Linked DNA regions of Coturnix japonica. The protein of the gene in region 1 purifies or fractionates together with the protein of each later gene. This does not show direct contact. Links are inferred from orthologs where the notes say so. Each region holds a gene or a part of one and is shown on either strand. Other genes may lie near its edges.

Evidence for each region. Proteins that work in one complex are often made in the same cells at the same time.
Region 2: the proteins of L3MBTL2 (region 1) and WDR5 purify together in Homo sapiens (affinity purification with mass spectrometry; 4 studies listed by BioGRID and IntAct, counting the BioPlex papers as one, with this or other methods). This does not show direct contact. The link is inferred for Coturnix japonica from reciprocal best matches to the Homo sapiens genes L3MBTL2 and WDR5.

What each region holds. Positions count from the first base shown.
Region 1 is NC_029516.1:45,392,530-45,396,517, forward strand, and holds the start of L3MBTL2 (lethal(3)malignant brain tumor-like protein 2), read right to left. Parts: upstream 2,802-3,988; 5' UTR 2,719-2,801; coding exon 2,671-2,718; intron 1,557-2,670; coding exon 1,250-1,556; intron 1,070-1,249; coding exon 936-1,069; intron 614-935; coding exon 490-613; intron 180-489; coding exon 100-179; intron 1-99. UniProt on the Homo sapiens protein: Putative Polycomb group (PcG) protein. PcG proteins maintain the transcriptionally repressive state of genes, probably via a modification of chromatin, rendering it heritably changed in its expressibility.
Region 2 is NC_029532.1:5,725,705-5,729,224, reverse strand, and holds part of WDR5 (WD repeat-containing protein 5), read right to left. Parts: intron 2,751-3,520; coding exon 2,695-2,750; intron 2,577-2,694; coding exon 2,530-2,576; intron 1,728-2,529; coding exon 1,652-1,727; intron 1,106-1,651; coding exon 1,072-1,105; intron 591-1,071; coding exon 516-590; intron 229-515; coding exon 141-228; intron 1-140.

The sequences.
Region 1 (3,988 bases):
TCAAGAACCCTCTCCCCAGGCCTCTCTCCACTCAGCACAGGAGAGTCCAGTGCATGCAAAGTGTACCACACATGTTGTGAGGCACAGCAAAGAACTCACGTGTTTGAAGCAGCTGACTGGAGCTGCCTTGAAGCCATGTTCCTGCAGGTACTTTCCCCAGTCAAAGCCCAGGACTAGTGCTAGGAGCAGACAAGAGAAGAAAGTAAGGCAAAGAGGTTTATCTAAAAGGCACACAGTACTCAGTTACCTCCGGGCTACAACAAGGGCAAAGCACTCTGTCCCAGAGAGCATGGACTCTGTATTTGAGTGCCTTTTCCCTGAAGAGGAACTAGATCCCACAAATGGTGTCAACTTGCTCTTGAGAAATGGAGCTGGGGGGGTATCTCTGGGGCCACAGCATCTCAGAGAAATCAGAGTGAAGCATGGGGCTATTAGTCTTACAGTTACCCCTTCTAAAGATATACCTCCTCATGACTAGCCTACACTCACCGTCCTGGCCTGTCAGAGTCCCATCTGCGAGCTGCCCCGTGCCCTGTGAATGGAGGAAGGCCCCGATCTTGGCAGACCAGGCTGCCTTGTGCAGGACTTTAGCTTTCTTTGTTGGTGGCTTCCCCTACAAAAGAAGGAATATTAGTGGAATAGGAAGGGAGAGAAGCTTGCAACTGGACAGGAGGAGGCACACATCTCTCCAGGGATGATTTACAGATTACTATTAGTGCTCTCAGGAACCAGAAGATACAACAAATAAAATATAACTATGCCCTTCCCCAGCTTCTAGAAAACAGCACTGCACAGTTGGTATGCTTTTCTCTGGGGGCTTCAAGCAGAAATAAACCACTGGTAATAGCAGTCTGAGACCTCACAAGACAGCAAAAATCCATCCCTCTACATGGGCTTTCTACTCCACCCCTGGGGAAGGAGGGATTTTGACTCACCTGCAGTCTGGCCAGAATGCTGGCCTTCTTGGAGTTGGATGAATAGCTTCTAGAGCATGATACACTGCAGAAACGTTTGGTCTTGGAGAAAAAAGCCTCCCTGGTTCCCACAATCCCACACATCTCGCACACAGCTGAGTGGAAAAGCACAAAGATACAAGCAGTCAGCAGGACCAGTGCTTTATAAGTGACAGATCTAAGCCCAGGAAATCCCCACTACACATAGCAGCTCCTCCATGTATTACAGAACATGCATTATCAGTTCAGTTCTGCTCCCAGAGCATGCTTTGGTTTCCTCCAGCTCTCATTCTTACCATCATACACAGGAGAACGGGCACTACCTGGCTCAGAGCCGCTGTCTTCTGTGATCCGGCTTGTGGGTGGCTGGTGCACAGGGGAGAGTGGAAGACCTCTGACTTCCCGATCTGCCACCTCATCATCACTAGACTCTTCCAGGCAGGAGCTGCTGTCACTGCCCATGCTGCTGTTGTAGCTCCGGAAGCTGTCATAGCCTCCAAACATGTCCAAGTCATCATCCTCCTCTTCTTCCTCCTCCTCCTCCTCACCTTCCACCTCCGCCTTCTCCAAAGATGAAGTTTTGTTGCAAATGGAAGACGCTGCCTGACAAAACAACCAGTCTGCTTTAAAACAAACACCTTATGCCAAATGTTTACTAGCTTGTCTTCACTGCTGAGAGGACGTCTAGACCCAAGAGAAGCCTTGGACTGTGCAAGAAATCCACGCAACAATCCCAGATTCAGAAATCTAAAGAATCACAGAAGCATAGAATGGCCTGGGTTGAAAAGGACCTCAAAGATCATCCAGTTTCAACCCCCCTGCTATATGCAGGGCCGCCAGTCACCAGACCAGGCTGCCCAGAGCCACATCCAGCCTGGCCTTGAATGCCTCCAGGGATGGGGCATCCACAGCCTCCTTGGGCAACCTGTTCCAGTGTGTCACCTCCCTCTGTGTGAAAACCTACCTCCTCATCTCTAACCCTGTTTCAGTTTAAAACCATTCCTCTTTGTCCTATCACTGTCCAGACTCAAACAGTTGTTCTCCCTCTTATTTATGTGCTCCTTTCAAATACTGGAAGGCTGCAATGAGGTCTCCCTGGAGCCTTCTCTTCTCCAAGCTAAACAAGCCCAGTTCCCTCAACCTTTCCTCACAGGAGAGGTGCCCAACCCTCGGATCATCTTAGTGGCTCTCCTCAAGCCGTCAAAGCCACAGCGAGCTTTCCACAGCGTACCGAGCTACAGGCTCCGGCCACCAAAGCTCACAAAACTAATACAGACTAAACATCAGCTGGACCAGCTTTCTCCAGAGTTGAATTTATAACGAATTGTGATGACGGACCAGCAGCAAATCCACCTCCTTCGCAGCCCTTTCTGCGGACGCTCCTTCCTTCAGCTCGCAGGAAGCGAATAACTCGGGATCGCTGCTCCGGAACCAAAAGAGCCCGAAAGCTGCGATGCATCCCCCCCCGGCGGCGCCCCCTCCGTCACTCCCTCCCCCAACACCCCACTGACGCCACATCGGGCTCCACACAGGGAGGCGAACCGCCCCCCCGCAGCCGTTAAACGGCCGCCACAGCCCGGGCCGCGCGTCTCCCGTGGAGCACAGGGCGGCCCAGCCCCCCCCAGCCCACGCTGCGGGGCTTTGCAGAGCACTGCGCGGCTGTGGCAGCAGGAGGCCTCTCGCAGTGCGGTACCGCCCCGGCCCCGCCGCCGCTCACCTCCCCTTGCTGCTGTTGCTGCTGTTGCTGCTGTTGCTCCTGCTCCATGGCTCCCAGGACGCTTGCCCGCCTCACGCGCGTGGAGCACTACCTCCCCCGCAGCCGCGCACCCGATTGGCCACAGACGGAAGAAAATGAGCCAATCGGAGAAGAGCTTGTTCCCGCCTCACTCCCCGCGGGGCACGACGGGAGGCGTAGTTCTATTTCCGCTAGAAGGGGGCGGGGCGTGGCCCAGAGCATGATGGCGGCCTTACAGGGACCTTACGGCGTCCCGGGCTCCATCAGAGAGGGGTGGCCAGCAGGGACAGGGAGGTGGTTGTCCCTCTCTGCTCTGCTCTTGCGAGGCCCCATCTAAGTACTGCATCATGGTATGGAGCCCCCAGTACAAGAAAGACAGGGAGCTGCTGGAGGGGGTCCAGAGGAGGGCACAAAGATGGTCAGAAGGCTGGAGCACCTCCCTTATGAAGACAGGCTGACATCTTGCCATCAAATACACCTTTCTATTCACAGCTTATGCTCCTGTGTTAGACCAATCATCGTACTTGTATCTGAATATCAAGCTTTTTATTCCAAATTTCATACAGCCACGAACATCTGTCCACTTTGCAATAGACCATGGCTTTTGTTTGGCACTTGACTGAGATTCCCGTGCAGACAGGCTCCTCACTCCATCATCTTCCATCCATCTTTTCCTGAAGGCAGCTTGCTCGTGTCATTACCTGGGCTTGGTGGACACAGGGACAATCCCAACGCCTGTGCTGTGCTCTGGCCACAGCCAGATCTTCAGGTGCACAAAACACAGGTACAAGTTACTCCCCACACACCCATGGGGTAAAGCTGTGCTCTGGGAAGCCCTCCCTGCCTACTCTGCACATATGGCTCGCAGGCAGTGAACGACACACCAGGTTCAACAGCACGTGCATGCAGTTACAGCTGGCACACACAACTGGCTTTGCTACACACACGCTCCCTAGTTGAAGCATTTCTGTACAGGACATCCCCCAAATAGGGGAATGTGCTTGAATTAAGAGGCAGCCGCCTGCACGCACTGCTGTCAGGTGAGATCAAGAGCACTTCAGCCTTTCCATGCTAAGTGACCTCAAGCAGCCCATAAGTGGGTGCAACAGCATTAATGGGGCACCCATCAGCTACTGCAGCACAGCATCTACAGAATATCCACACCAGGTTCTCTCTCAGGCTCACACTTTGGTGCCAAAAGCTGAACAATGTATTCCAAGTGAAATAGGATCTTTTAATATCACATATCCAAACAATAGTTCTCATTTCAAAATGCAAAATAGGTCTTCTGAACATCAGC
Region 2 (3,520 bases), on another chromosome or scaffold:
CATTTAGGGTTAGATTAAGCCTCAGCCAGGCAAGATTTAGTAGGTCTGACAGCAGAAGCAAGAAAACTCCAATGCTAAGCCCTCATTGCAAGCTGACATGAAGGATATTCTATCAATAAAGACAGAACGCTCTTTCCTACCTGTGTGCCCTTGTAATTTCTGTACAATCTCTTTTGTCTGAAGGTTCCAAATGTAAACCAGGTTGTCTTCTGAACCGGATACAATCCACTGGAGGGAGAGAGGAAAGTCATTTTAATCTCTCTTCATCTATATCCAGCTGCAACTACTCACCAAACACTTCACTATCGCTACATTAGAAGGAAGGTCCAACACAGCTAAAGGAGTGAAAGATGCTGAGGTGGTTCTATACGAGAGTTCAACCTCTGTTGATGCTTTCCACCACCCTACCCTCAGATAGCAGACTGATGTTTGGCATCACATCAGCCCTACACGTCCCATGGAGAACAGCAGAAAGAACAGCACGTCAGTAAAAAGCAGCCCAAATAAACACTAACCTTTCCACCAGTAACAGAGAAATTGGCAAATATGCAGTACTTCTCATTTTTGTGTCCTGTGTACGTCTTCAGGCACTGAAAGAGAAGAACCACAAGGCACAGGCACAGTTGAGAGGTGGCTTTTCTCACAGCCACGGACAAACTCTCTTGTCACAGCACATCAAATATATCCGCCCAGGCTTCCCACCCTGCAAGCTTATCTAGAGGATGCAGAAGGCATCTCTGCCCTACAACACTATAGAACTTTCAGCTAAGAAGGAAAAGAAGAAAGGCCTCAATTTGTCACTTCCCCCAGAGAGAAAACCAGCAAGAGAAATTTCATGCTGACTGACAGAAACACAGAAGCACAGCTGCTTTCAGTGTTATGGGGCTATGCAGGAGCACAAGCCTTTGTACCCCCCTCATCCAAAGGTATCTTTGAAAGAACCCCATTAAAGGGTTACTAATGCTTTTTTTGCTGAAAACTCACTAAATGTAAAGCAAGGTTAATAAACACATATAAAGCCCAGATTCTCCAAGATATTAAGTCTACAAAGCAAGACAAGATTGTTTTTACCTTTCCTTTGCTGTAGTCCCAAAGCTTAAGAGTGCTAGAAAAGAACAGAAAACCAAAGATTGAGTTCTTGTGTTTTATCAGCAGTTTCCTAGTAGCAGACAGTTTCTCCATACCCGAGTTCTTAAAGTCTACAAGGGGCACTTTAGCCCAGCTTTGGAATGCAGCTTTAGTTAAACCCCAAAGTATCAGTTGTTACCAACATGCCATTCGTAATTTCCCCCTTTATGGAGGCTGCATTCTTTCACAGGAAGAGAAACCCATCTGGAAATAGGGACAGCCCTACAATTATACCCATCCAATACAATCATTACCCCCAGCTCTTAACTTTTATGTCTTGCACTGGGATCCATCAGGCAAGTAAACAAAGGATTGAAACCCTCTGAAGACAGCTCAAACATAAGCTAGATCATAGAAAGAGAATAAGCAAGCTACTGAATTTTATTTGGATATAATATGGCAGTATGTATGCACCTGTGTAGGGTCATTATCATGACAGGCAACGAGCAGCAAACTAAAGTTTCATCTGATATTTATTAACACTTCAAAGATGGTGGGTTTCTATTTATTTTATAATACCTACTTGTCCAAAGTTGCAGCAAGAATGTATTTGCCATTCGGGGAGAACTTCACAAAAGACACGGGAGGGTTATCATCATCTGAAATGAAGATAAAGTGATTGTTAAATAGTTCCTATTAAAGTGATTGTTGAACAGTATTATTGTCTCATTGCCCAAGAATTTCTTTTGACAGTAATCTGTTGTTTAAAGCTTTCAGTTTTGTTATCCTTTGGTTATTCAAGCAATACAGGTGTGAGAAGGTGACTGTTTCCAGTATTTCAATAAAAGGATATTAAACATTTTGCTCACAGGCATTTTAAATGACCTTTTCATTCCTTCCATCTAAAACATATCTGTAATAAAGTGTTTTTTTAAACACAGAGTATACATCTATCACCAATCTGCAGTGCCATGTCAGCTTTATAAAGCACTTATAAAAAACTTCATAAGAATATGAAAGACTGGGAACATATGCCTTATAGGTGGTTTCCTTATATTAGCTTTGCTCACAAGATGCCTTATGTCATCAGCAATAAAAGCAGGCAGCTTGTTCAGTCACAGACTGTTTCCATCATATCCAGCAGCACAAACACTTTTGTTGTTACAGTTCTGAGCCGCTGCACAGCAATCATTACAGAACTGAATGATAGAAAACTTTGGAAGTCTTTCATCCAGCATCTAGACTTACAGAACACTCCAAGGTTAAGCAAGATCCCATATATGCAAGAGGATAGCTCCTATTAACTGTCATAGCTACAAAGACAACAGTGTGCTAATGGAACAGCATTGAAACAGAAAAATAGAGGTTAAGGAAGTCAATGCTCACTGTGATGATGCAGTATGTCTGTATCACAGCTGGACAACAAAGAATGAAGCACAAACAAGAAGCATTCCTACTTACCAATGAGTGTTTTCAAGCACTGTCCTGATGCTGTATCCCAGATTCGACTATAAAAAACATATGGGACTCATTACTACCACTATAAGCTTTATTATTAGTATCATTAATCTTTCGTCAAAGTGCAATAGATTTGAACACTGAAGCAGACAAGAAACAACCACTTACCAGAGTCCATCATAACTACTTGACACTATCAGGGATCCATCACGATTAAAATGCACCTGTAATATTATAAAAGAGGGGGAAAATAACTTTACTTTGTTCACAAGCATCAAATTTTTACGCCCCACCAAGAGTATTCACCTCCCGATGCTGACATTGCAGTTCATATGGATAAAAGCAGAAAGTCAATGATATTCAAACAGTAGATGTGAATTTAGATGGGCAATAGGATCAGAACAAAATTCTTCCCCCCTGCACTGAGTTCACCTGGCATAAATGGAAATGGCTGGTAGCTACAGCTGTACATTCAAGCATCAGGAACTGACATGTCTGTTTCCTCAGAAGCTAAGAGCAGTACCTTAACACGAACACACAGATACTCCGCTCAGACACCATTAGCTGCTCAGTTTATAGTAGTGTCTAACCTGGGGATAACACCTTAAGATTTTAAGGACATGGAACTTCACCCCATATATAGCCTCACATATTCTGAGGTCTACTTATTGCCTTCAAATACACCTGAAAATGCTGCAATTTAAAGCAATAATTACTACTAATGTGCATTATAAGTATGAAACGTCTCCTAGGTAAAATAGAACAACCAGACCAATCACATTAAAGCAGGTATCGTTTAACACAACTGAGGCTGAATATTCTTTCAGTGTTTCCTCCATTTCAAAAATATTAAGAGTTGAACACCTTCTAATCCTTCATTTGAAGGGATATGATTGCAATCCAAGCCATTTTCACAAGATGAATTAACAAGACTGGAGTGTGCTCTGAAACCATCCAGCTCCAGACCTCAGCAATTGCTTGGAACAAGAAAGCA